Saccharomyces cerevisiae S288C: one gene and its partners. The protein of the gene in region 4 interacts with the protein of the main gene of each other region in a biochemical or structural test. Each region holds a gene or a part of one and is shown on either strand. Other genes may lie near its edges. The genes, in order: TOM70, YDJ1, SUP35 and HSP104.

What was found.
Region 1: the proteins of HSP104 (region 4) and TOM70 form a complex in vitro, tested with the Saccharomyces cerevisiae proteins (one study listed by BioGRID).
Region 2: the proteins of HSP104 (region 4) and YDJ1 form a complex in vitro, tested with the Saccharomyces cerevisiae proteins (2 studies listed by BioGRID).
Region 3: the proteins of HSP104 (region 4) and SUP35 form a complex in vitro, tested with the Saccharomyces cerevisiae proteins (7 studies listed by BioGRID, with this or other methods).

What each region holds. Positions count from the first base shown.
Region 1 is NC_001146.8:394,973-402,561, reverse strand, and holds TOM70 (protein channel TOM70), read left to right. Parts: upstream 1-2,024; coding exon 2,025-3,878; downstream 3,879-7,589. Other genes in the region: NCS2 (Ncs2p), read right to left, coding at 41-1,522; mitochondrial 54S ribosomal protein bL35m MRP35, read left to right, coding at 4,192-4,539; NMA111 (Nma111p), read right to left, coding at 4,884-7,589. UniProt on the Saccharomyces cerevisiae protein: Component of the TOM (translocase of outer membrane) receptor complex responsible for the recognition and translocation of cytosolically synthesized mitochondrial preproteins.
Region 2 is NC_001146.8:501,975-508,695, forward strand, and holds YDJ1 (type I HSP40 co-chaperone YDJ1), read right to left. Parts: upstream 5,124-6,721; coding exon 3,894-5,123; downstream 1-3,893. Other genes in the region: putative glucosidase SUN4, read left to right, coding at 1-803; AQR1 (Aqr1p), read left to right, coding at 1,750-3,510; MTQ1 (S-adenosylmethionine-dependent methyltransferase), read left to right, coding at 5,784-6,721. UniProt on the Saccharomyces cerevisiae protein: Probably involved in mitochondrial protein import. Is also required for efficient translocation of pre-pro-alpha-factor. Involved in heme regulation of HAP1, as a component of the high-molecular-weight (HMC) complex.
Region 3 is NC_001136.10:805,506-812,964, reverse strand, and holds SUP35 (translation termination factor GTPase eRF3), read right to left. Parts: upstream 4,642-7,459; coding exon 2,584-4,641; downstream 1-2,583. Other genes in the region: HMO1 (Hmo1p), read right to left, coding at 115-855; ARG82 (inositol polyphosphate multikinase), read left to right, coding at 1,333-2,400; heat shock protein HSP42, read right to left, coding at 5,217-6,344. UniProt on the Saccharomyces cerevisiae protein: GTPase component of the eRF1-eRF3-GTP ternary complex, a ternary complex that mediates translation termination in response to the termination codons UAA, UAG and UGA.
Region 4 is NC_001144.5:84,547-92,883, forward strand, and holds HSP104 (chaperone ATPase HSP104), read left to right. Parts: upstream 1-4,076; coding exon 4,077-6,803; downstream 6,804-8,337. Other genes in the region: polyamine transporter TPO1, read left to right, coding at 258-2,018; Fe-binding Fe/S cluster assembly protein ISA1, read left to right, coding at 2,857-3,609. UniProt on the Saccharomyces cerevisiae protein: Required, in concert with Hsp40 (YDJ1) and Hsp70 (SSA1) and small Hsps (HSP26), for the dissociation, resolubilization and refolding of aggregates of damaged proteins after heat or other environmental stresses.

The DNA of each region.
Region 1 (7,589 bases), on a different chromosome or scaffold from region 4:
AATACATAACCATTGGAATAGCGAAGCCTTTGACATTTCATTATTCCTCCCCATCGGAATTAATCTCGAACTGATCCAATATTTGGCTCAATTCTTTGTTTTTATTGGTCGCATTTGCCGTAATATCCATGGTATCGACTTTTGGCCAAACCAAATTCTTATCCTTGATACTGGTATTCAATAAGATTAAACAACCATAACACAATTTGACATCACCGTCTTCAACATCGAGGCTATTACTGGCACCCTGTTTGATTTCATTCAACAATTCAACATAATGTGTGTGAGATTGCCCTAATTTTGAATCTTGCCACTGTTTAAATAAATACTTTTCTTCAGTGGTCTCCACAGGATAAGGCGAAGTAACTGTGATCCTATTTAACCAATTGGATGGATTTGTGTATATTTTAGATTGACATATTTGACATTGTGACGGCTTAGCCATACTTGATTTAGGTTGCGTCAATTTATCTGCGGTTCTTAAAACTGTCGATATTATATTTGAATAATCGTTCTGAATATCCTGAAAGTATTTGTTGGTAATTTCGTTGATTGTCATATTTTTTACCAATTTTTGTTGACCAAGTGACGGCAGTGATTTTCTGGCGATCAAGCAATTAGGCTTCACATTAGTTTCTTCAACGTTAATGAGGAACTGTGCCAGATTTCTGATTTGTAAAAAACTTTCAATCTCGACGGATAATAGATCTTTCATAGGATATAGGTTTTTATACTTACATGGTTTATTATTCAAAGTATCAAATGATTCCGAGTCTAGAAACGTCGCTATTTGAGAACCTTTACCTTTTACCACAAGAGAAATAATTACTTCAGATAGCTTTGTCATGGAATGTCCCCACATTATGGCATTATAACCATTTTCGTATGCAAAATGCTTGATCAATTGAGTTTTTATAATCGATATTAAATCAGACCTGGATGAATTATTGAGACAGTATTTGCCTAATATTTCTTTTAATGTTAATATATTGCTATCATCTACTGACTTTGACTTGCTGAAAATCTCAAAATTTTCATTGTCAATGATAAAAGTCGATACTTCCGATGCATTGTTGAAAAATTCGTTAACATCAATAAAATGGACATTAAATATGTTGGATATTTTATTCAGTTGTGACATTTTTTCATTAATCAAGGATTCCATACGTTCTTTGATAACAGAAACATTTTCCTCGGTGAATACCGTGAGTACATCGACGGTAAAGCCTGTACGATTATTGTGTTGCTTAGTTTGTTCCAATAGCAAGTCGTGCACAATATCTAACATAACCAGAGATCCTGAATCAGAATGTGATAAGGGGAGCAGAATCTTAGAGACGGATCCTTCTTTTTCAAATGGGTATATAACTTTAAATAGGTTCCTGAAATATTCATCCTTCATCATTTGTTTCCTTTGTTTAGTACTAACAAACTTGATGAAACATTCATCGCAAAACTTTTCCTTTCTAGACTCAACTGTCGCTGGATTTCTGGCAGATGCAGGGCACCTCTGGCACTCCATAACTTGATAGAATTATATTTTTAAAACTAGGATAGGGATGGACAATAGCAAATACAGAAACCGAAGTTAATTTTATGCTCGTCTCACTCATCTCATCGGTACTATAACAGTTTTTCACTGCGTAACTGAAAAAAACTCCATAATACGTAGATAATGATGATGTAATTAAGTCAACTATTCAAAAATAATAAAGATGACTTTATTGAAAGAAACACTGTGCAGGCAACTTCAAATGTTTCCATAAGGTTCAACAGTGTTATATCATTTCAGAAACAAACATTCAAGGATTAAGTGGAAGGAAAGAAAGAGTTTCATTGCCATTAGTTTAAAATATACAATATCACTGTATACGATGAATAAGATGGCGTTAAACCACCTTTTGTGTTTGGACGACCAGTGGAAAAGATCTTAAAGGAATTAAGAGGAACTCCACCACTCACCATAAAAGAGAAGCAAGATTCGGAAGTGAAATTACAGCTCACATCTAGGTTCTCAATTGCCAATGAAGAGCTTCATTACAAGGAACAAGACAGCCATTTTGGCAACCGTTGCTGCTACAGGTACTGCCATCGGTGCCTACTATTATTACAACCAATTGCAACAACAACAACAACGAGGAAAAAAGAACACGATCAACAAAGATGAAAAAAAGGACACAAAGGACTCTCAAAAGGAGACTGAAGGTGCTAAGAAATCTACAGCCCCATCAAATCCTCCTATCTACCCGGTTTCTAGTAATGGCGAACCAGATTTTTCCAATAAGGCAAATTTCACCGCTGAAGAAAAGGATAAATATGCATTAGCGTTAAAGGACAAAGGTAACCAGTTCTTTAGAAATAAAAAATATGACGATGCTATTAAGTACTATAATTGGGCATTAGAATTGAAAGAAGACCCAGTTTTCTACTCGAATTTATCGGCTTGCTATGTTTCTGTGGGTGACTTGAAAAAAGTTGTTGAAATGAGTACTAAGGCTCTTGAATTAAAACCAGACTACTCAAAAGTTTTACTGAGAAGAGCTTCTGCTAACGAAGGGCTAGGAAAATTTGCGGATGCGATGTTCGATTTGTCTGTATTGTCTCTAAATGGTGACTTCAATGACGCCTCTATTGAACCAATGTTGGAGAGGAACTTGAATAAGCAAGCTATGTCTAAATTGAAAGAAAAGTTTGGCGATATTGACACCGCTACTGCTACTCCAACTGAATTATCCACCCAACCAGCTAAAGAACGCAAAGACAAGCAGGAAAACTTGCCTTCAGTTACATCCATGGCCTCTTTCTTTGGTATTTTCAAACCCGAGTTGACTTTTGCCAATTATGATGAATCCAATGAAGCTGATAAAGAGTTAATGAACGGTTTAAGTAATTTGTACAAAAGATCTCCCGAAAGTTACGACAAGGCTGATGAGTCTTTCACGAAAGCTGCAAGGTTATTTGAAGAACAATTGGACAAGAACAATGAGGATGAAAAGTTAAAGGAAAAATTGGCCATCTCATTAGAACACACAGGTATTTTCAAGTTCTTGAAAAACGATCCATTGGGAGCTCACGAAGACATCAAGAAAGCTATTGAATTGTTCCCAAGAGTCAATTCATATATCTACATGGCATTAATCATGGCTGATAGAAATGACTCGACTGAATATTATAACTACTTCGATAAAGCGCTGAAACTGGACTCAAACAATTCTTCTGTTTACTATCACCGCGGCCAAATGAATTTCATTTTACAAAACTATGATCAAGCAGGAAAAGATTTTGATAAAGCTAAGGAATTAGACCCAGAGAATATCTTCCCTTATATTCAATTAGCATGTCTAGCGTACCGTGAAAACAAGTTTGATGACTGTGAAACTTTGTTTAGTGAAGCTAAGAGAAAATTTCCAGAGGCACCAGAAGTTCCAAATTTCTTTGCTGAAATTTTAACAGACAAGAACGATTTTGACAAGGCTTTGAAGCAGTACGATTTGGCTATTGAATTAGAAAACAAGTTGGATGGTATTTATGTTGGAATTGCGCCTTTGGTCGGTAAAGCCACTTTGTTGACAAGAAATCCAACAGTAGAAAATTTTATTGAAGCCACGAATTTATTAGAAAAAGCGTCCAAACTAGACCCAAGAAGTGAGCAAGCTAAAATCGGTTTAGCTCAAATGAAATTGCAGCAGGAAGATATCGATGAAGCTATTACATTATTCGAAGAATCCGCTGATTTGGCTAGAACTATGGAAGAGAAATTACAAGCCATTACTTTTGCTGAAGCCGCTAAAGTTCAACAAAGAATTAGGTCTGATCCAGTATTGGCTAAAAAGATTCAAGAAACTTTAGCTAAATTACGCGAACAGGGTTTAATGTAAACAGTAAACATAAACTTAAAAACTTTTAGGAGAAGACAAAAACTAAGTAACAAAGTAGACTAAATGACAAAGGAAGAGCAGCAATGACATTGACATCTCACTTTGAAAATTTTTGTTTTCATTTTTGTTTCAATATACACGTATGCATGTTCTAATATATATATATATATCTTTTTCTTTTTCTCTTTCATTCTGTAAATAATTAGCAGTGCGTATAAACCACAACCAATTTTTTCAACCTTGAAGCCCTCGCCAATTTGCGGAGCCTAAAAAAATCTGGTCAAATACAAAAAAGATAGTATATATATCTATCATGAAAATTAGCTTGCATAACAAACGGCAACGAGGAGACCAAAACCAAAACATGTCTGTTTTCAATGTACTCAAACCACTACTTAAAGGTTCAAATAGTTTCAAAGTGAAGCTCAACGGCTTTCTATTCAATAACGTTTCTACAATAACAATAAGAACTTTAATGAAAACTCATAAAGGTACAGCAAAGAGGTGGAGGCGTACCGGTAATACTTTTAAAAGAGGCATAGCTGGAAGAAAACATGGCAATATAGGCTGGTCCCATAGATCATTAAAAGCCTTAACCGGAAGGAAAATTGCCCATCCAGCTTATTCAAAGCATCTAAAGCGGTTATTACCCTATCATTGAAGGTGGAATAATTATGTTCTCCTCTAAACCAAACGCACCGTTAACCCCAAATCAATTGTTTGAGTATTTGCTTTCGGTCTTCATGTATATAAATAAGTATGAAACAATAACCATAAATTTATACAATCGATAATACCTTAGAGAATTCAAGCGTTGAAGTAATTAAATACTATTTCGTCAGGCGCTTGCAACCATCTCGACATCATAATCCTAACCCCTCAAAATGATTGAAAAACTTGTAAATCTTAACGCTCCTGTGATAGTCTATAAAAAAACTGTTCTTTATGGAAGACTTTGATGTATACATACATACATACATATATAAATGTTTTATCAAATCTGGCCTATTTTTCACTTTGGCTGTTGCCGGTAAATTCCTTTTCAATCCATTTGTGCGTGATGTTGTCCCTCTTCAATTCTGCAGTAGGGAAGTAATGATAATTCGTTTTCAGTGAAATAGCGAAGGGCACATTGTCGAAAGTCATTAACCTCATTTTACAATAACTATTATCAGGGATTGTTTTGACAACTTTCAAAAATGTATCTAGATCAGGTGTTTCAATTTCATTGACATGAGTTATGAAGTTTGTGGCAGATATACCGTACTGGAGCGCCGGTGACGATTCTCCCCTGAATGTACAGTAGACACCCTTTGGAACATCAACCATAGCTTGCAAAACAGCATGATGCGGCTTTTGTAAGATACTACCTGCAAATATTACAAAACGGTCGGTTTCCTGAACTTCCACGGTTTTAATTTTCAAATCAACAATATTACCATCACGAACAACTTTAAAATCTAACATGGCTGATGGCAAAATACCATCAGCTGAGCTTACAACTCCATTCAAATCATTCATTTCAGTGACTAATTTTCCGTTCACAGATAAAATGACGTCACCGGTCTCTAAATGAATCTTGTCTTCTGTATAAGAAACTCTAGAAACAGTGATAAACTGTAGCCTGTTATTTGATTCATGTTCCATACGCATGATCCATTCTTCGGGCACACCTCTAATTCTGGCTTGCAGAACGGAAATTGAACCGAACCCAGCATCAACTATACTTACTCTTGGTTTACCGCCATTTTTTAAGATATCTATAACTTCCCTACAGTCCATTATATCTAATCCCATCAAATAAACCTTTTCTTTATTTTCTAATCTTTCGCCTAAAAATGGAAGCCATAAACCTCTTACTGTACCATCATTATCTGTCAAAATACCGGAATTACATCTGGTGCTAACGTTGCAGTCGATAGATATAGCTTCTAAATTAGTGGCACGGTACCTCGGAATTAAATTACTTGGAATACTTACAGAGGAAATATCGGTGACAGTGGTCTCTGAAGTAACAATTCTATCATTCTGGGTAAAACCTATAAACTGAAGCTTATCACCACGTTTCATTCTGGTGGTAGATAGCTTGGGAGTGATTAGTGGAGCCTTTACTAACTCTGGATCATATTTAACAATAGCGAAGTTGTGAGTTGGATGGAGAAATTCTACTGTGGCTGGAACTACAAGGGAATCTGCAATGGTGACAAAAGTATCAAGACAATCATGTGGAACTACCCTTCTGGACACTAGGACATAACCTTTTTCAGCATCAATGATTAAGCCTGATGTTTTTAAAATATCAGCAGAAAGTGAATCCAATGGAACTGCTGCCATTGTAGCCACTGTACATAACGATGATGACAATTTTGCAACTTTTTCATTATTAACAGGAATAGGAATAATTTTGGCCGAACGAGGTTTCAACGCATCGGCTGGAAGTGGATCAGCAACATTTTTGTAATCCCAAATACCAGTTGTATCGTTCCTTGTGTAAACTCTGAATTCATTGCACCAATGACGGTCAATGTAAATAGAAGTAACAAGTGGAGAATGCTGATCTGTTAGATGGTGGTATCGTACAGTAACGCGCTTACGATCTGGAATAGTTTTCATAATTTCAATAAATGTATCTAAGTCGGGGGTTTCCTTATTGTCTATAGAATCCACAATCCAACCCACTCTTTCTTTTGAATCAAAGTTGAAAGACCCTGATGCACTACTTAAAAATACACCCCTGACAGGTAGCGCATAAAACCTTGCCATTTGATATGATAATTCATGAAAAGTCGCACCACAAACCTCTACATAACGATGAGGGGTGATAGCATGTAAATCACCAACAGTGCAGGTGACAGTACATTCGACACCGCCCCTTTGAATAACCAATTGGATTTCCTTCCCAACATTTTCATCTTGAATTTTATCCACTTGCATGAAAGAAGATATGGTTTCACCGTTTATTGAAATTAGAGTATCACCTTCTTTAATTTTATCATAGCCTGGGCCTTCTCTTAAAACGGTTTCTGCTACCAACAGTCCGATATTTTCGGGAAATTTAGCACGAGCCTCACTTTCTCTCTCTGAAGTTAAACCTAATCTTCTACACTCGTCATAAGGCTTCAGCAGCCATTGAACTTGAATCGTACCACGTGTGATAGGTTTGTTGGTTTGGATGCAAATTAACGCTCTAAGAATTCTATCTAACGGTAAAAAAAAATCAGTAGATGCCTCTGTAGAGCCACCTGCCTGTAAAGCCACAGCATACCCATCTATATTTACGACTGGAGAACCACTTGAACCGCCAGAAGCAGATGCAGCAGCTTGAATATATTCTGTATTGAAGTCATTGTATGTCAGCTCACCATATTCTGGAGCGTTCCTGTCAATTCTACTAATAAAACCTGCTAGGATACTTAATTTCTCACCGGCATCATTACCGACAACTCTAATTTCTGAGCCGACCTTAGCCAAACTTGGTTTTAGCGTTAACGCTTTGATCTTAGAATATTTTATGTTTTTCGGATCGAATTTGAGGAACCCAAAATCATGAACAGGATCTCTGTAAATTGGTATAACATCGCATTCTTCATGATTATCGAAAACTACGTAGCCTACGAACGGACCAGGACCAACGACGTGCCTATTGGTCAGAATTATACCTAATTTAGCATCCACGACAAATCCGGTAGCTTCAGATACCAAAGCAGAATC
Region 2 (6,721 bases), on a different chromosome or scaffold from region 4:
CTGACTTTTCAGGTCCATATGAAAAATTTGAAGACGGTACCATTCCTTGCGGCCAATTTCCATCTGGTCAAGGTGTTATCCCCATCAGCTGGTTAGATGAAGGTGGCTGGTCTGGTGTTGAAAATACTGACACTTCTACGGGTGGCTCTTGTAAAGAAGGGTCTTACTGCTCATACGCTTGCCAACCAGGTATGTCCAAGACACAATGGCCTTCTGACCAACCATCTGACGGCAGATCCATTGGTGGTTTGCTATGTAAGGACGGCTACCTGTACCGTTCAAATACAGATACTGACTATTTATGCGAATGGGGCGTTGATGCCGCTTACGTCGTCTCTGAATTGAGCAACGATGTTGCTATCTGCAGGACCGATTACCCGGGTACCGAAAACATGGTGATTCCTACATATGTGCAAGCAGGTGACTCTTTACCCTTGACTGTCGTTGATCAGGACACCTACTACACTTGGCAAGGATTGAAGACATCCGCGCAATACTACGTTAACAATGCCGGTATTTCTGTCGAAGATGCTTGTGTTTGGGGTTCTTCAAGTTCAGGCGTCGGTAATTGGGCTCCATTGAACTTTGGCGCTGGTTCTTCTGATGGTGTCGCCTACCTTTCTTTGATTCCCAACCCAAACAACGGTAACGCATTGAATTTCAATGTCAAAATTGTCGCCGCTGATGACTCTTCTACAGTCAACGGTGAATGTATCTATGAAAACGGTAGCTTCAGCGGTGGCTCTGACGGTTGTACCGTTTCCGTTACTGCTGGCAAAGCTAAGTTTGTTCTATACAACTAAACTTAGGCGCATCAACAGTTGAGTAAGTTGATTGTATTATTACCCCATTCTTTTCTGCCCGTCCATTTTATTGTCTGTTTAACATACACTAAAACCCACGCCGGATTAATATCAATTTTTTTTTACTTTGTTTCTATTTATCATTCTTCCAGACATAAATTATTTTGTAATATTAAAGACATTTGAAAACCTACATACATCGCACACCTCTTCTTTCATTGTCCTAAAAACCACCCAAAAAAAAAAAAAAGACATCAAATCTCTTTTTTTTTTTTTTGTAGTTCTGTTGCCGTATGCTATCTACTCCTAAGGCTTTTTTCTACTACGGCAATCTATTCACAATGTGCAATTAGGCTAAATGCTAAAAAAAGAAAAAAAAATCCGGAGCCCCTCGATGACTCCTGTTTCCGTTTTATACTGTCCAGCGCAGACCGCACTTCCTACGTATACTTCTTACGGGGAAGGGAGCATACACGAAAACAAAAGGACCCGTAATGACTCGGAAACTCCATAGATCGGTAAATACCGGCTCGTTACCCGTCCTCCATCGGAAAATCTCTCACCGATTTGTTCCGGTATCGGATAATTTATGAATCACCCGGCTTGATGGAACCGTTTTTGTTCCGTGAAATGCCCGGCCTGCATTGTTTTCTTCAGACGAGAAGCCGTTCCAACGTTTCTTTTTCTCGTCACCGGGAAGTTGCGGGCACCTTAGGGCAAGGAAAAAGAAACTTCTCTGCCCTCATCGAGGATACAGTTGATCATACTCAATATTATATAACGCTTAACACTGTCAAGGTTATACACTTTTTACTAACTTTTTATTGCTAATATTGTCGTTCTATATAAAATTATGGATTTTTCCAGGCTTACAAAGTTAGCATTTATACGGAGATAAATTTATTTTTTTGAGAATCCAAGCTAGATTCAGAAAGTCGAATCAGCAATGTCACGAAGTAACAGTATATACACAGAAGATATTGAGATGTATCCTACTCACAATGAGCAGCATCTGACGAGAGAATACACAAAACCAGATGGTCAAACGAAAAGTGAAAAACTAAATTTCGAAGGCGCTTATATCAACAGTCACGGGACTCTATCCAAGACTACCACAAGGGAAATAGAAGGCGATTTAGACTCTGAGACTTCTTCTCACTCCAGTGATGATAAAGTTGATCCAACCCAACAGATAACTGCAGAGACAAAAGCGCCATATACTTTACTAAGTTACGGTCAGAAGTGGGGAATGGTTGCAATTCTAACAATGTGTGGCTTTTGGTCTTCATTGGGATCACCGATCTATTATCCCGCTTTGAGGCAGTTGGAAAAGCAATTTAATGTGGATGAAAATATGGTTAACGTTACTGTGGTTGTGTATCTGTTGTTTCAAGGTATATCTCCCACAGTTAGCGGTGGTCTGGCGGATTGCTTTGGACGGAGACCTATAATTTTAGCAGGTATGCTGATATACGTTATTGCATCCATCGGGCTAGCATGTGCTCCATCATACGGTGTTATTATCTTCTTGAGGTGTATTCAGAGTATTGGTATTTCCCCCACAATTGCAATCAGTTCTGGTGTTGTCGGGGACTTCACTTTGAAGCATGAAAGAGGTACATTTGTTGGCGCCACCTCAGGGTTTGTTTTACTGGGTCAATGTTTTGGTAGTCTTATTGGTGCCGTCCTGACTGCAAGGTGGGATTGGAGAGCTATCTTTTGGTTTTTGACCATTGGTTGTGGAAGTTGTTTTCTAATTGCCTTTCTTATTTTGCCAGAAACAAAGCGAACCATTGCAGGTAACCTTTCCATTAAGCCTAAAAGATTCATCAACAGAGCGCCGATTTTCCTACTGGGCCCAGTTAGAAGGAGATTCAAGTACGATAATCCTGATTATGAGACATTAGATCCCACCATTCCGAAACTAGATTTGTCATCCGCCGGGAAGATCCTTGTATTGCCAGAAATTATTCTGTCTTTATTTCCATCAGGGCTCTTATTTGCTATGTGGACGTTAATGCTTTCCTCTATTTCATCCGGTTTATCAGTGGCGCCATACAACTATCATTTGGTCATTATTGGTGTGTGTTATCTACCCGGTGGTATTGGCGGTTTAATGGGTTCCTTCTTCACAGGTAGAATTATTGACATGTATTTCAAGAGAAAGATCAAGAAATTCGAGCAAGACAAAGCTAACGGGTTGATTCCACAAGACGCAGAGATTAATATGTTCAAAGTCCGTTTAGTTTGTCTTCTGCCCCAAAATTTCTTGGCCGTCGTAGCCTATCTTTTATTTGGTTGGAGTATAGATAAGGGCTGGAGGATCGAATCTATTTTAATTACTTCATTTGTCTGTTCATACTGTGCTATGAGTACATTATCAACATCAACTACGTTATTGGTCGATTTGTACCCAACGAAATCATCTACAGCAAGTAGTTGTTTCAACTTTGTTAGGTGCAGTTTGAGTACCATCTTCATGGGTTGCTTTGCCAAAATGAAAGCTGCGATGACTGTAGGTGGTACTTTTACATTTTTATGTGCGCTGGTATTTTTCTTCAACTTCTTAATGTTTATTCCGATGAAATATGGTATGAAGTGGAGGGAGGATAGATTATTGAAACAACAAAGACAGTCTTGGTTAAACACCTTGGCAGTCAAAGCCAAAAAGGGAACAAAAAGAGACCAGAACGATAATCATAATTAATTGGCATTCTTCAATTTGATAGACACTTATCCCTGCATATTTTTTTTATAAACAGCTTATAGACTTTCATGTAAATTTTTCCTAATTAATGTATTATTTACTTCGTTAATTTTCCGTTGAATTATTGACATGTTAAAGGTGCACTAAATATACCTAATACAAAAAATGGTTTTCTGTGGCAAATATATACAGTGGAAATTTCAGCATATAATCCCTGCTTTACTCTTTCCTTAAGATTTCGTCATAATTAGAACTTTTTTTGGTAAACTGCATTTTCTACCATTATTACTTTACATATGTATAGCTACAAAACTGTATTTTGAAGTGAAAAGTATGATGAATAAATGAATCGTGAATAAGTTGATCTTTTTTTATCAAGAAAATCATTGAGATGCACATTGAACACCTTCGCCACCTTGTTCTTCTTCATCGGAATCATAGTTTGCACCACCCCTGGAGGCCCGTGTTCTGTTGTATTTGGCTGGGTCAAAGTCTGCGAGTACACATTCGTCCACAGTAGCTTTCTTTGGAATGGCTGGGACAATTCTTGGAGGCAAAATTTCTTCTAACTTCTTCAAGTTTTCTTCTGATGTGAAATGGTTTTCTGGGAACTTGATAGTAAATTTGATGATTAAATTACCATAGCCACCGTATTTTGGAATTGGCATACCTTTACCTTCGATGACCTTACGCATACCTGGGGCAATAACTTCACCTGGAACAATACCGACCTTTAACCAATCACCAGAAACATGTTCCAATGCAAATTCACCACCAGCGATAGCAGTCAATAGATCAATTTCAGCCTCATATACTAAATCATCACCATCTCTCTTGAAGCTCTTGTGTGGTCTCTCAGAAACTATGAAGACAACATCACCTGGAATGACATCTGGGGCTTGGTCAGCTTCACCTTTGAAAACGATTCTTTGACCATCTTTCATACCTGGTTCGACATGGACTTCTAGGATCTTCCTTTCGTTTTCAACTTTCTTACCGTTACAAGATTTACAACGATCCTTAGGATCAATGATATCACCAGTACCGTGACAGACATCACACTCTGTTTGGAATCTTTGGATCATTGGACCCATTTGTCTTGTTACAAATTTAATACCTTGACCATTACAGCTGGTACACTTCTTGACGGCGCCTTTCTTACCACCACGACCTTCACATTCTTTACATAGGATCTGTTTGTTAAGGGCTAACTTAGCTGTCCTACCCTTATATAATTCTTCAAGTGAGGCAGAAATTTCATGCTTGATATCTTTACCTCTTTGGGGACCTCTTGGTCTTTGTGCGCCACCAGCACCAAAGAATTGGGAAAAGATATCGTCACCAAAACCGAATCCACCACCTGGGAATCCGCCAGCGCCACCAGCACCACTTAGACCATCTTCACCAAATTGGTCATATATATCTCTCTTTTCAGGATCTGATAAAATTTCATAGGCTGCTGAAGCTTCTTTGAACTTTTCTGCAGCTTCCTCACTTGGATTCTTATCTGGATGGTATTTTAAGGCGCATTTTCTATAAGCTTTCTTAATTTCGACATCAGTGGCAGTTACTGGAACACCTAGAATATCGTAAAACTTAGTTTCTTTAACCATCTTTGGACGTTTATTATTGTTGTTGGAAGATGTAGAATTCAGTTTGGATAATTTTTAATTATGTTCTATCAAAAGATATGGTAACAAATAACAAAAAAATAAATACGTAACAGTTATCAAATAAGACGCTTGTTCGGGCCTAATATATATGGGGAAAAGGACTTTTTGTGACTTTGATTTATAAAAACGAACTACACACCTTATCAAACAAGAACTACCTAACCAACATATAAACGTAGAGCAAGTTTTTACACGTTTTATAAGTACGTGGATTGATCTGCAAGTTAAATACTTTCCATACCTGCCGATGCTCTATTGCCTTTTCATTTCTTGAAAAAGAAATGAAAAAATTTTCTATTTTTTCGATGGCCTTCTATAATTTTGTACGAAATATTATAGGTCAGGTGTATATCACGTGCTCAAACCAGCGACTTCACATCTTATTTTATACCAACATACTCATTATAACAATGTATTCCATAGTTGAATACACACAACTCAAACGTGTATAAACGACTTTATTTTGCCGACTCTCTACGGTCAATGTCTTGTTACGTTTTCAAGTGCTTTTAGAAACTCTGCACTCTCTTCCCCTTAACTCGTAGACAAGGAGCGATAGTTGAATGGTAGGAACGAAAAAGAAACGGTTAGAAAGAACATATGCCTCGAATATCTACATCATTGATAAGAAAAGCTTCGAGAATACGACCTGGTTTGCATCTTTTGCTTCCAGAATGTAGGACTCTCGAGCAAGCGAAACTCGAGTACAAATGGCTCACCGAAGAGCTGCCTCCGGATAAATCAATCCGCTGGGCTTGCTTACAGAGATACAAACACGTCCCATTGCAGTACATCTTAAGATCGCAACCGTTTGGGGCCTTGGACATAGTTTGCAAGCCTGGTGTTCTTATACCAAGATGGGAAACCGAGGAATGGGTGATGGCCATAATAAGAGCTCTAAACAACTCTATGCTTTCAAGGCATACTATACCACTGCATATTTGTGATACGTTTACAGGAACAGGGTGTATTGCTCTCGCTTTGAGTCATGGTATAGCAAATTGCACGTTCACTGCCATTGACGTGTCAACAAGAGCAATTAAGTTGGTTAAAGAAAATATGCTGAAAAACAAGGTGAGTGGTGGTAAGCTCGTGCAACATAATATATTGTCCTCAAAAGCTAGCGATGAATATCCATCCCATATAGATATATTAACCGGTAACCCCCCCTACATTCGAAAGCGTGACTTCAATAGAGATGTTAAAACTTCCGTAAAGCTGTTCGAACCAAGGCTAGCGCTAGTGGGTGAGCTTGAATGCTATATAAATCTAGTAAATTATTGGCTGCCGAAGACAGACTCCTTCTTTTATGAGATTGGAGACGTTGAACAGTTTAATTACGTGGAGAGGCGCATTAAAGAAGATTCATATCTCAGCCGTATTTGGTCTATTGGTTTGAAATATGACTCGAATGGGAAAGCAAGAGTCGTATATGGGTTTAAGGCCACTCCCAAAGGGCGAATACTACACCAGATTTTTGCATCCTTTGGGACTATAAGACATTTAGCAACCGCACTCAGTGGGCACAAAGCTAATTG
Region 3 (7,459 bases), on a different chromosome or scaffold from region 4:
ATGTGCATACACTATGGGCAAAGCAAGCCCATGCTGCTATATTTTATTCCTTTTTTTATTATTATATTTATTTTAGAAAGACAGTAGAGTAATAGTAACGAGTTTGTCCGTCCATCAAATAGAAGAGTTGGATTTGTCCTTCTTCTTATCCTTCTTCTTCTTCTTCTTCTTCTTTTCCGAAGATCCATCATCATCGTGAGGTCTCTTTTCCACAGGAGGTTCAGCGGCGTGCTGTAAACTGAAAGGAATTGGAACCGGCGCATGAGTTGGACCGTTTTCCAAGGAAGCTGGTGGTAGGGTACCGTTTTTCTTTGCTTCTAAGTATTTGGATTTCTCTCTTTGGTAATTCTCCAACTCGACGTTGTAAGCCTGCTTCCATTTTTCTTTTTCGTTATCACTCAATTCCTTCCATTTCTTGGAGATTTCTTGAGTAATCTCAGTTGAGGATAAAGGTGGCAAGCCAGCCTTTTGTCTGTCTTCACGAAGTTCTTGACGAACGTACGCAGAGTAAGCAAAGAAAACAGTCAGTGGCTTCTTTGGAGCATTTGGATCACGTTCGATCTTTCTTCTTACAGCCTTGACTGGAGCAGCGATAATAGCATCTTTATCATCATCAATAGGGTTAACCAGCTCCGAGCTGATGCCGTGCAAGTGGTTTACACCAGAAGTCAATGTTTGCAAAGACTCAGTCAAAGTGGTGAAAGCCTCTATCTTCTCTTCTTCATCGTCGCCGATGGCATTGTAGAAATCAACAATAGAGGAGGCTGTCTGATTAGCAGCTTTTGATAACTCGAAGAGGGAGGAGACGAGGGAGTCTTTGGCGGACTTCAATTTGACAGAAGGATCTGTAGTCATGGTGTGACAGGCTTGTTGTGTGTGGTAGGATGTACATCCTAGAGTATAAGGCAGTAGACCAGCCCTGAGGGCCCGCTGGGACTAATTGGTACTTCTTGCTAAGTTCTTGAAGGAAGAGAGTGTTCCAGGCAGAGTTGCCCCCCGTGGTACTGGAGAGAATCTGAGTGAATTCCCTTCCGGAAGCTTCTCTCCGCCACAACGGTCGGATGAAAAAAAAAAGCGGGAAAAAAAATGGTGAAAAACCACGTTCTCGAAGCCAATTGGTAGATAATCGAGTCGGGTAATATTTCTCAGAAGTAGGCTGGGTAACTAAGTATCTCACCAAAATGTCTTTATACTGTATACAAATGGTGGGACAAAATGGAATAAGATAAAGCCATTGGAGATCCCTTTTTTACCAGTAATCAGTTAAACAATTTCCATTAGTAGCTTACATGGATATGTGCATACGTGTGCCTAAGTAGAAATTTTTTTCACATGGATACGGTAAACAATTATAGGGTTTTAGAGCATAAAGCTGCTGGCCACGACGGTACTCTAACAGACGGTGATGGATTGCTCATCTTTAAACCGGCCTTTCCGCAGGAACTGGAATTCTACAAAGCCATACAAGTGAGAGATGTGAGTCGAAGAAAGTCTTCGGCTGATGGAGATGCTCCCTTGTGCTCTTGGATGCCCACGTATCTTGGAGTCTTGAATGAAGGGGCAAAAATCGAGCAAAGTGGCGATGCTGCGCTTCTGAAGATAGATGAGCGGTTAAGTGATTCCACTGATAATCTTGATTCAATACCTGTAAAGTCTGAGAAGTCCAAGCAATACCTCGTTTTAGAAAATCTACTATATGGATTTAGTAAACCTAATATACTTGATATAAAATTAGGCAAAACTTTGTATGATTCGAAGGCATCATTGGAAAAAAGAGAGAGAATGAAAAGAGTCAGTGAGACGACGACTTCAGGATCTTTGGGTTTCAGGATATGTGGCATGAAAATACAGAAAAATCCCTCTGTGCTGAATCAGCTTTCGCTCGAATATTACGAAGAAGAAGCAGACAGTGATTATATCTTTATAAACAAATTGTATGGTCGTTCAAGAACCGATCAAAATGTTTCAGATGCAATTGAACTTTATTTTAACAATCCTCATCTGTCGGATGCGAGAAAGCATCAACTGAAGAAAACATTTTTGAAAAGATTGCAGTTGTTTTATAATACTATGCTAGAAGAAGAAGTTAGAATGATATCAAGTAGTCTTTTGTTTATTTACGAAGGAGACCCGGAGCGATGGGAATTACTAAATGATGTTGACAAACTTATGCGAGATGATTTTATAGACGATGATGACGACGATGATGATAATGATGATGATGATGATGATGATGCCGAGGGAAGCAGCGAAGGACCAAAGGACAAAAAAACAACTGGTTCTTTGAGTTCCATGTCACTAATAGATTTTGCACATTCTGAAATAACGCCGGGGAAGGGTTATGATGAAAACGTGATTGAAGGAGTTGAAACCTTGCTAGATATTTTTATGAAATTCTAGATATATTGAGAGGTGAAGTTTACCTTGTTTATGGTATATGGTACAAAAAGAACTAAACTAATTATACGTCTATATATATATATATATATATAACAGCTTTATTAAACCTTGTTTTTTAATATAGAAGAAAATGCTTTATGATCGGTATTATTGTGTTTGCATTTACTTATGTTTGCAAGAAATTTACTCGGCAATTTTAACAATTTTACCAATTGCTATTGTGGTACCTTGATCTCTCAAAGTGAATCTACCTAATTGAGGGTAATCTTGGTAAGTTTCCACACAAACTGGAGCTTCAGTTTCTAAAACAGCGATGACCTTCATACCCTTCTTAGCAAAAGCAGGTGGTTTCTTTGACTTACGGTTGGTACCCTTTTCTAATTTGTGCAATAACTTAACAATATGTACCTCTTCAATTGCTGTATGAACATGCATAACACATGAAAAACCGGCTGCTATGATAGATTTTAATTCTACAATAGCAATTTGAGCTACAAACTTGGTAACACTCTTGATAGGGTTCTTTGGCGATGTTAGTACAAAACCTGGTGAAATGTCTTCTTCTTCAACACCTTTGATTCTTAGTTTAACTTGCTCACCACACATAGCCATATCAACTTCATTTTCAGTTTCGTTGTAAATATTTTGAATTTCCACAGCGGTTTTGTTAGGCATCAGTAGGGTGGATTGACCCTTTTTGATATGACCGGATTCAATTTTACCTTCAACGATGGTACCTAGATCCTTCATCTTAGCGGCAATAGGCAACATGAATGGAGCATTGATGTGACGGTCGACGTGGTTCATTGTATCCAGATATTCTAACAGAGTTGGGCCGGTGTACCATGGGCATTCTTTTGGATCTACGTGATCTTTCAAATTTGCACCACTGTAGCCGGATACTGGCATAAATACAACGTCTGTCTTAATGTTGTAACCAATTGCTCTCAAGAAATTGCTGACATTACTCACACATTGGTCGTAACGTTCCTTAGACCAGTTAACGGTTGGGTCATCCATCTTATTTACGACGACAACCATCTTATTAACACCTTGGGTCTTGGCCAATAGGGCGTGTTCACGAGTTTGACCACCTCTCTCAAAACCGGTTTCGTACTCACCCTTTCTGGCGGAAATGACCAAAACACCAACATCAGCTTGAGAAGCACCACCGATCATCTCGGAAACGTACATTTTATGACCAGGAGCATCCAATATGGTATAACGCCTTTTTTCAGTTTCAAAGTAGGCCTTACCAACTTCGATAGTCTTACCATCATTTCTTTCTTCTTTGTTGGTATCCATGACCCATGACAAGTACCAACCTTGTCTGCCTGCATCCTTGGCTTCTCTTTCATATTTCTCAATAGTTCTCTTATCCACAGAGCCAGTCAAGTATAGTAGATTACCACCCATAGTAGATTTACCGGCATCAACATGACCCATGAAAATTAAAGAAACGTGATCTTTACCACCAAACATATCGTTAACAACTTCGTCATCCACTTCTTCTTCCTGTTCCTTGATCAAGGCATCAGCACTGGTAACATTGGCATTGTTGGTATTATGTGTTGATTCAGAGATTTTAAGGTCTTCTACCTTTGGAAGTTCCGATTTTTCCTCCGTCTTTTCTTCAGTCTGGACTGGTTTCTCCTCCTTTTTAACTGGTTCTTCGACCTTTGTTGGCTCTTTAGTTGGTTCTTTGGTTTCAGCAGACTTCTCTTCCTCTTTCTTATCAGATTCGGCAGGTTTTGTGCCAACCTTCTTGGTAGCATTGGCCAACTTGATACCGGAACTGGAGACAAGCTTCAAAGTCTTCTTTGGTTTGGGAGCGGCCTGCTTTTGTTGCTTTTGAAAGTCGTTCAAAGACATACCTTGAGACTGTGGTTGGAAACCAGCTTGATATCCTTGCAAATTGTTATTGTAGTTGAAGTTTTTGTAATTTCCACGGCCACCTTGTGGATTGAATTGCTGCTGATAACCGCCTTGAGGATTGTACTGTTGATAGCCTCCTTGAGGATTATACTGTTGCTGGTAACCGGCGTCGGGATTGTACTGTTGATAGCCACCTTGTTGGTACCCAGAATAACCTTGGTAATTTTGGTAGTACCCACCTGCAGGTTGGGCTTGAGCATTGTAAGCTTGATAACCTTGGTATCTGTTGTTACCTTGTTGTTGGTTACCGTTCTGGCTGTATTGCTGGTAGTTTTGCTGATTGTTGCCTTGGTTTGAATCCGACATTGTTGCTAGTGGGCAGATATAGATGTTATTCCGAGCAAGTCGATGAAGAAACCGCTTTTTGTTACAGTACAATGGAGTCTTTCAAGAGAAGATGTACCAATATACACTACACTCTTCAGAAGCAATGGGAGCTTTGGTCGAGTGAAAAAAAAATTTTCTCCATAAAGAAAGATCATATTATACGATGATGTAAGATATAATACCCGGTTGTAATGTACATTTAAGAGCAAGGTAAGAAGTGACAATAACTTCTGTATGATCTTAGCATGTACCTCTTTTGGTGGGCTGAGAACTAAGATTCATCTTTTTGCGGAAGAATTTTGCTATGAACTTCACAACTTTATGAAGTGGTTTAAGAGAATTACAAAAGAAATGACACAGACTCGAACACTGTGACGCGTCGTCTTAGTAAAAAATAATAATTTGAGTCAAATAGCGCAGCTAATGCGAAACAAAGAAATGAAGCATATACCATTCGTTGTATGATTTTTGTGTGGTTGACAGATATTCTGCCGAAATTTTAACGCTTATTATAAATATAAATGTATGTATGTGTGTATAAACAGATACGATATTCAATTTTCTACCGTAGGGTTGGGATTTTCTTCAAACTCCAATTCTTCGTCGGGTATTTCCTCAATGGCGATCCTCTTTTTTGGCTTCGGCTTTTCAGTGTCATTGACAATTTTAGGCACCTTAATTTGTAGTAGACCGTTGTTGTAAGTAGCTTTAATTTCTTCGTCCTTAATGCGTGGCAGCACGGGGAATTTAACGGTTCTCTCAAACGCACCATATTTTAGTTCCGTGATCTTCAAGAATTTTTCATCAATGCCCACTCTGTCTTCGATCTTACCCTTGATGAGCATCTCATGAGAAGATGGATGGTAATCAATGTGGAAAGCCCTAGAGTTAGCACCTGGTAACGCAAGAACAACTACGTAAGTGTCCTCGGTATCATAGACATTCACTTCTGGTGAAAATGGTAAGTCCATTCTCGTTTCAGGCTTGGATACTTGTAACGGGTCAGGTATTGGGGAAGGCGCTTGTAGGTGAGCGAACGATGAAGATTTTTTGGCTAATGGTGGTCTCGACGATTCCTCCAGCTGATTCAAAGGTTTTTCTTTGTTGGTTTCGCCAGCTTCCTCTTTGGGTGCTTCAGACTTATCCTTCTTATCCTTTTCTTCTCCCTTTTCGCCCTCCTGTTCGGTATTTGCTTCAATTTCTGGTTCAGTGCCTTCATATGGTGGAACACCTATTAACGCGGTTAATAAGTCGTTTAAACTGTTTGCCTGTTGGTTGGTCCTATTATTCCTGGCAGTATTACAATGGTAATATGATGGATATCTTCTCGAGTTGCTGTCCTCGCCACCATCTTCCTGTCTTGTAGTGCCGCTGTCACCCACCATATCTTCGTCTTGGTCCTCTTCTTCACCATCCTCGTCATCATAACCGTATTCAGGACTATAGTAATAGGCTTGTCCAGGGAACTGGTAGTAATAGGTATTAGGAACACCATTGTATCTGCTATACAATGGATGATGACGAGGATGATGCCCGCCAACGTGCACTTGTCCATAATGGGGATGGTATCTCTGTGGCCTTTGTGGTTGGCGAGGATATCCTTGCTGCCCTCTCTGGCCAGTTTGGTTGGATAATGCGTTCAAAACGTCATAAAGAGATAGGGATGGTTGATAAAAACTCATTGCTTCGGCTTGGTATGATCTTAATTTGTGTGGGATATGGACAATTGCCTGAACGTGTCCCTATGTTATGTATAATTATACTTCTTGACCGTATGTATGAGAATAAAAGATAGTTCCTGCCGGGATCAAAAAAACGATGACAGCAAGTCTTATATAACTAACTTCACAGAGGCCTCCCCCCTGCCGCCAAGGCCGCCCCTGTATTCGCCCCTGAGCAGTTCTCAATTCGCGAACCTTCCAGAACTTTTAAGCGCGTGTTCCAGGCGTTGCCGCCTAGCCACTGTTGGCCTCCGCCAAATTACTCCGGCAACACACCTATATAACTGCTCGAGCGGCTGATAGGGAAAGCTGAATTGAAGTATGTCATATCCTGTTTTAAACAAGTCTCGTTTTATGCTACTCTTCTCGAGAGCCAAGCATTACCATTCCATCTCTTGCTATTTTATTGTTCTTCTTAAAATGTTCACTTTTTCCCTTGCTCACTTGTTACCCAACCCCAGCTAAATATTAAAAATTTGGAAGAGAGTTTGGACAGTACACTACGTATTGAAGTACTCTTCAATTCAGGCGCGGCCTAAATTGTAAGTGATCTGGCAAGATGATATCCAGGAATGAAAATATCAATCGTAGAAACAGTAACCGTCTTGAATAAAAATCAAATATCATCTGCCAAATAGTACCCATATTACTAGTACATCATTATATGTGGCACAAGAAGTTAACGTGAAGAAACAGTTCTTATGTTTTATAAAAGCTGAAGCGCAAGAATCAATAAATTTAACATGAAAGAAAAAAACTTCTAGGACATTCTGTTTCACCTAATATTATAGCCTTTAACAATAACGTAATCCAAAAAAATTATCCGGTTATTCTCCTCTCACTAATCTTGCAATTCAGCTTCGTAAAATACTACTGTTTATATATGTTGGTTGCTATCGGTACTTTAGACTATGTGAATATTGGGAATTTTGAGATTTTTTGCTTTTAGGTGAAGCTAGTGAATTTCTCACAATAGTAGAAAATTCGATTGCAGAGAACCATAAATGGTTCGGTAAACCACTACATTGCAGTTGAGTACGGCAGTCATCTAATAAGGTACGGTTCAGCCGTTCAGC
Region 4 (8,337 bases):
ACTATCAAGTAATGTGTTCTATATATAAAGGGTACCTCATTTGATCTTGATGTTTCTTTCTGCTCGTATGCCTTGAGTCACCAGTTTTCAAAAATAATCTTGGTCTATAGAAGAGAAAAATCCAATAATCTGAAATTGGTTCTTCGCACCCTTGCAACGAGATCATATACTAAATATCGGGAACTCTTTATTTCTGGATCTTTTATCAGTCACTTTTTTTTTTAGTCAAAGAAGCAAGAGAAAACTAGACAGAGACAATGTCGGATCATTCTCCCATTTCTAATAAGGAAAATCATCTGCTGCCATCAGACTCGTCAAGAAGCTCATCCAGCGATATGCATTCGACGGGCACCACGGGAACCACAGGCGTCGAACCTGTAGATTTCACCGGTGAAGGTGCCAAATACACAACTGCTACGGAGGGCAATGGTGGTGCAGATTTAGCGATTCAAAGAACGACGACTATGAATTCTGCTGCAGAATCAGAGGTTAATATCACGAGAAGATTAACTAAAATCCTTACTGGGTCTGTTAACGAGCCTGACCGTGTAGAGGTTGATTATACCAATTGTGCGCCCATGGGTGGTGACAGACCTTACCCTCCATCGTTGCCGAGCAGAGACCTGTACGAGGTTACTTTTGATGGTCCTAACGACCCACTACATCCATTTAACTGGCCCATGAAGAAGAAAGTGCTGCTATGTCTGGTCTTATGTCTGGATTCTATTGCCATTGCTATGTGTTCTTCCATTTTTGCCTCTGCAGTGCCGCAAATCTGCGAGATATACCACGTCATCGAAGTTGTCGCCATTTTGGGTATCACGCTTTTTGTTCTTGGGTTTGCGGCCTCACCGGTTATCTATGCTCCTCTTTCTGAATTGTACGGTAGAAAGGGTGTTCTGGTTTTATCTGCGTTTGGATTTGCCCTTTTCCAATTTGCTGTCGCTACTGCTGAGAACCTGCAAACTATTTTCATATGTAGATTCTTTGGTGGTTTTATCGGGGCAGCACCCATGGCCGTCGTCCCCGCCGCGTTTGCCGACATGTTTGATACTAATGTTAGAGGTAAAGCCATTGCGCTATTTTCTCTAGGTGTTTTTGTAGGCCCCATTTTATCGCCTGTCATGGGTTCTTATATCGCACAAAGAACTACCTGGAGATGGTTAGAATATGTTGTCGGTTGTTTCGCTTCCGCAGTTTTCGTTGCCATCGTATTGTTCTTTGAAGAAACACATCACCCTACCATTTTGGTTAACAAGGCCAAACAGATGAGAAAGCAAAGTAATAACTGGGGTATTCATGCTGCTCATGAAGACGTGGAGCTATCCATCAAAGACATTGTCCAAAAAACTGTGACGAGGCCTATCATTATGCTTTTCGTGGAACCATTGCTACTATTCGTGACTATTTACAACTCTTTTGTCTACGGTATCTTGTATTTGTTACTGGAAGCCTACCCACTTGTCTTTGTGGAGGGTTATGGGTTTACTGAAAACGGTGAGTTGCCATACATCGCCTTGATTATCGGTATGATGGTGTGTGCTGCTTTCATTTGGTATATGGACAACGATTATTTGAAAAGATGTAGAGCCAAGGGGAAATTAGTGCCCGAGGCCAGATTGTACGCAATGGTCATTGCAGGTACCGTTTTCCCTATTGGTATCTTATGGTTCTGTTGGACGGGCTACTATCCTCACAAGATTCATTGGATGGTCCCCACAGTAGGAGGGGCCTTCATCGGGTTCGGTTTAATGGGTATTTTCTTGCCATGTTTAAACTATATCATTGAATCGTATCTATTGTTGGCAGCTTCTGCCGTCGCAGCAAACACTTTCATGAGGTCTGCATTTGGTGCATGCTTCCCATTGTTTGCAGGATATATGTTCCGTGGCATGGGTATCGGTTGGGCTGGTTTGTTATTAGGTCTATTTGCCGCTGCGATGATTCCCGTGCCTTTACTATTCTTAAAATATGGTGAATCTATCAGAAAGAAATCCAAGTATGCTTACGCCGCTTAAGAAAAAGAAAAGCAGAAATCATGCTCTTTCTATATTTGCATTTTTTTATTTCATTGTTATTACTCACCCTGCCCCACGCTCAAAGGGCTCGATAACGACATAGCATTATAGACACTGTGCAGCGTAAAGCTGACATATAAAGAAATTACAAAAAAAAATTAAAAAAAAAAAAAAAAACAATCAAAAAAGACACACAACTACAGAACAAAGGAAATCTTTTTCTATGCACAAGCACAAGAGTACTTAGAGAGTAGTGATATCCCCTTTTTTTTCTACTATTTTTTTTTTTCCCATTTTTTTCCTCCAAGACTCCTCTTATGTGGTTGTTATGTATAGCCCATAGTTACTAAATAAAACACTAATTAATGATTAATAATCCCTCTCTAATAAGAAATAGATAAAAGCTATTGTTCTTCTCATCGCCGGTTCTCGGCGTTGTCCGTACCCTTGGCCGAAACTCGGGCGGGGGCTTATTAGTCATACCCTCAGATTTCATTGGTCAGATAACAGTCACCCGGTAAATGCCCGTTTAATGACTTCTTTATTTTGGATTAAAATTGACAGGGAATTTCAACGGAATAAAGGAAAGAGATTGAGATGCTTTTAATTCATAAAGGAAAGGGAAAGAGGACAGGAAAGCAAGGAAGAGTAATGGAATTTTGCAAATATTTGTAAATCCTTTAGAATTACTAAGAAACTGTTATTTATTGACATTATTTTACTCGTCTTATTTATTTATTTATACATTTGGCCACCATTTTTGCACTCGTACGAAAGACCATTTTAGATTTTTTTGATTTGGTAGTATAACAAACGATCGGAACAATAACGTAACATAATGATAAACACAGGAAGAAGCAGGAATTCAGTACTGCTGGCACACAGATTCCTTTCAACTGGAGGATTTTGGCGAGGCGGTACGAATGGCACAATGTCTCGCACAATCAACAACGTAAATCCTTTCAAATTAAAATTCATACCGAAGACAGTGCCCGCAGCTGCAGACTCTGTCTCTCCAGATAGTCAACGTCCAGGTAAGAAGCCCTTCAAATTCATAGTTTCCAATCAGAGCAAGAGTAGCAAGGCTTCTAAAAGCCCGAAGTGGTCGAGCTACGCATTCCCTTCGCGTGAGACCATCAAATCTCATGAGGAGGCCATCAAGAAGCAGAATAAAGCTATAGACGAGCAAATAGCTGCTGCAGTATCCAAGAATGACTGCTCTTGCACAGAACCTCCCAAGAAAAGAAAGAGGAAATTGAGACCAAGAAAGGCGCTGATCACCCTGAGTCCGAAGGCAATCAAGCATTTAAGGGCACTGCTAGCTCAGCCGGAACCTAAATTGATTAGAGTTAGCGCTAGAAACCGTGGATGTTCAGGACTAACGTACGATCTACAATATATCACCGAGCCGGGGAAATTCGATGAGGTAGTAGAACAAGATGGCGTTAAAATTGTCATCGATTCAAAGGCGTTATTCAGCATCATTGGAAGTGAAATGGACTGGATCGACGACAAGTTGGCCTCTAAGTTTGTCTTCAAGAATCCAAACTCCAAGGGCACATGCGGTTGTGGCGAGAGTTTCATGGTTTAAAAACCTTCTGCACCATTTTTAGAAAAAAAGAATCTACCTATTCACTTATTTATTCATTTACTTATTTATTTACATATTTATCATACATATTAACATTGAACCCTCCATCGTGGTAGTGTTTGCTGTTCCTAACTTTTCTTTCGTTGTTCTTGTAGATATATATTTTTCCAGAATTTTCTAGAAGGGTTATTAATTACAATCTTAAACGTTCCATAAGGGGCCGCGATTTTTTTGTTCAATTTTCAACAGGGGGCCCATCTCAAAGAACTGCAAATTATATCACAGTAAAAGGCAAAGGGGCGCAAACTTATGCAACCTGCCAGATTATTATATAAGGCATTGTAATCTTGCCTCAATTCCTTCATAATTCGTTCCTTTGTCACTTGTTCCTTTTTACCCTTGAATCGAATCAGCAATAACAAAGAAAAAAGAAATCAACTACACGTACCATAAAATATACAGAATATATGAACGACCAAACGCAATTTACAGAAAGGGCTCTAACGATTTTGACGTTGGCTCAAAAATTGGCTTCGGATCATCAACATCCACAATTACAACCTATACATATTCTAGCTGCCTTCATTGAAACGCCAGAAGATGGATCAGTCCCTTACCTACAGAATCTAATTGAGAAGGGCCGTTACGACTATGATCTTTTCAAGAAAGTGGTTAATAGAAATCTAGTAAGAATTCCTCAACAGCAACCTGCACCTGCGGAGATAACTCCAAGTTATGCTTTGGGGAAAGTCCTTCAAGACGCTGCTAAGATTCAAAAACAACAGAAGGACTCATTTATAGCGCAAGACCATATATTGTTTGCTCTATTCAATGATTCGTCTATTCAGCAAATATTTAAGGAAGCTCAAGTAGATATTGAGGCCATCAAGCAACAAGCTCTTGAACTTCGTGGTAACACTAGAATTGACTCTCGTGGCGCTGATACGAACACACCTTTGGAATATTTATCAAAGTACGCCATTGATATGACTGAGCAGGCTCGTCAAGGTAAACTTGACCCTGTCATCGGCCGTGAAGAAGAAATAAGAAGCACTATTAGAGTTTTAGCAAGAAGAATTAAGTCCAACCCATGTTTAATTGGTGAGCCAGGTATCGGTAAGACCGCTATTATTGAAGGTGTTGCTCAAAGAATCATTGACGATGACGTTCCCACTATCTTACAAGGCGCTAAATTGTTCAGTCTAGATTTGGCCGCATTAACCGCAGGTGCTAAATACAAAGGTGATTTCGAAGAAAGATTCAAAGGTGTTTTGAAGGAAATCGAAGAATCAAAGACTCTAATTGTGTTATTCATTGATGAAATTCACATGTTAATGGGTAATGGTAAGGACGACGCTGCTAACATCTTGAAGCCAGCTTTGTCCAGAGGCCAATTGAAGGTCATCGGTGCCACCACCAATAACGAATATAGATCTATTGTGGAAAAGGATGGTGCCTTTGAAAGAAGATTCCAGAAAATTGAAGTCGCTGAACCAAGTGTGAGACAAACAGTGGCCATATTGAGAGGTCTGCAACCAAAGTATGAAATACATCATGGTGTAAGGATTCTGGATAGCGCCTTAGTCACTGCTGCTCAATTAGCCAAGCGTTACTTGCCATATAGAAGATTGCCAGATTCTGCTTTGGATTTAGTTGATATTTCTTGTGCTGGTGTCGCCGTCGCAAGAGATTCTAAGCCAGAAGAATTGGATTCCAAGGAACGTCAATTGCAATTGATTCAAGTAGAGATAAAAGCTCTAGAGAGAGATGAAGATGCCGACTCCACCACTAAAGATAGATTAAAGTTAGCTAGGCAGAAGGAAGCTTCATTGCAAGAAGAATTGGAACCTCTAAGACAACGTTACAATGAAGAAAAGCATGGCCATGAAGAATTGACACAAGCTAAAAAGAAATTGGATGAACTGGAAAACAAGGCCCTTGATGCTGAACGTAGATATGATACTGCTACCGCCGCTGATTTAAGGTACTTCGCCATCCCAGATATCAAAAAGCAAATCGAAAAGCTTGAAGATCAGGTTGCTGAGGAAGAGAGACGTGCTGGTGCCAACTCCATGATCCAAAATGTGGTCGATTCAGACACCATTTCTGAAACAGCTGCAAGATTGACTGGTATCCCTGTTAAGAAGTTGTCAGAATCTGAAAATGAAAAATTGATTCATATGGAACGTGACTTATCATCTGAAGTCGTGGGCCAAATGGATGCCATTAAAGCTGTTTCCAATGCCGTTAGATTGTCTAGATCAGGTTTAGCTAATCCAAGGCAACCAGCATCCTTCTTATTTTTAGGTTTGTCCGGTTCCGGTAAAACTGAATTGGCTAAAAAAGTTGCTGGATTTTTGTTTAATGATGAGGACATGATGATCAGGGTCGATTGTTCTGAATTAAGCGAGAAGTATGCGGTCTCTAAGTTGTTGGGTACCACGGCAGGTTATGTCGGGTACGATGAAGGTGGCTTTTTAACTAACCAACTGCAATACAAACCATACTCCGTTTTGTTATTCGATGAAGTAGAAAAGGCACATCCTGATGTTTTGACTGTCATGCTACAAATGTTGGATGACGGTAGAATTACTTCTGGTCAAGGTAAGACGATCGACTGTTCCAATTGTATTGTCATCATGACTTCCAATCTAGGTGCTGAATTTATCAATTCTCAACAAGGATCAAAGATCCAAGAATCTACCAAGAATTTGGTCATGGGTGCTGTTAGGCAACATTTCAGACCAGAATTTTTGAACAGAATTTCTAGTATAGTCATTTTCAACAAGCTATCTAGAAAAGCTATTCATAAGATCGTGGATATTCGTTTGAAGGAAATTGAAGAGAGATTCGAGCAAAATGATAAACATTACAAGTTGAATTTAACTCAAGAGGCCAAGGACTTCTTGGCCAAATATGGTTATTCCGATGATATGGGTGCACGTCCACTGAACAGGTTAATTCAAAACGAAATTTTGAACAAACTGGCACTAAGGATCTTAAAGAATGAAATCAAGGATAAGGAAACTGTCAATGTCGTCTTGAAGAAGGGTAAATCTCGTGATGAAAATGTTCCTGAGGAAGCTGAAGAATGTCTGGAAGTTCTACCAAATCACGAAGCTACTATAGGGGCTGACACGTTAGGTGATGACGATAATGAGGACAGTATGGAAATTGATGATGACCTAGATTAATTTAATATAGTGTGATTTTTAAAAACTTTCGAACAAGAATCAGTAATATAATATATATAATTAATAAAACTAATGGAATTTGTTTAATTGAACTTGACACCCGAGCAAAAGAGCTCACATTTTAACGTTTAGTTCATCTTGCTGTGAATAATCTAAAAGTAAACAATGGACAAAAAAGTCCACTGGACGTCAAATCTTTTTTTATTGTATTTGGGACATATGGCGTTGATAACTAAAGTTTAAAGGAAGTAATAAGTGAAGGTTAAATCTGGACCTCTTTACTTTCATATTAGAAGTATAAAACACACGCGGATTGGTCCATTATTAGAATACGGGTACTACAATAATGGTTTTGATAGTTACTGTACATTTGAATGTAGCGACTCATATGACTCATATATATGACTACCAAATCATGTTAAAATTAGTATATCTTTAACTTAGACTTCAGTACTATCTGAACTGCACGTTTAAATTTTTACCATAGCAGTTCATGTAATATTAATAATCACTTGTGCCAATATAATGTTACAGCGAACATTTTTCCATGCGCTTGGAAAATTGAATGATAGAAAATTCGAACAGCGATGATTTCCAACGATGTAATCCATTAAGATGATTGTTAGAATTTCTATTGTTGCAGAGGTCATATGATATTAAGAACACAGCACAATATATTAAAATTTCTTCTCGAGGATATTGAGAAATGGGTGAATTTTGAGGTAATTGTTGGGATTCCATTGTTAATAAGGGCTATAATATTAGGTATACAGAATATACTAGATGTTCTCCTCGAGGATCTACGAATCCTCATAATGGAATCAATATTTCTATATACTAATATTACGATTATCCCTCATTCCGTTTTATATGTTTCATTATCTTATTACATTATCAATCCTTTCACTACAGCTTCCTCTAACCTCGATGACAGCTTCTCATAACCTATGTCATCATCTAACACCGTATATGATAATATAGTGATAGTTATAACTATTAGTTGATAGACGATAGTGGATTTTTATTCCAACAGATATAAGAATTACAAAAAGAGAACTGTTATTTCTACATAATAATATTACGATTAGTACTCCTTTTATATGTTTCTTTATCCATTTACATTATCAATCCTGATTAAAATTCCCACGAACCCCCAGTACTAGATTGTTCATAATGGATCAAGTTCACAAGTTAATAAGGGCGTGTGGTCTAGTGGTATGATTCTCGCTTTGGGCGACTTCCTGACTAAACAGGAAGACAAAGCATGCGAGAGGCCCTGGGTTCAATTCCCAGCTCGCCCCTTTATTTTCTTTTTTTGGACCCAAAGCACTAGCTTAGGCTGTCCATCTTTGTTCTTGATTCTAAAGATCACAGTAGAATAATGGTTTATTTCTTAGAGTTCTACAAGTTTTAGCGTACTACTGAACAATGAATGTCCTGATTTTTTAAAACTCGCGCATATTTGGAGGCCATATCGTGCCACCAACTTTACTACAGTCAAACACCTGTGCCCAATTCTACCACTTATTAAACA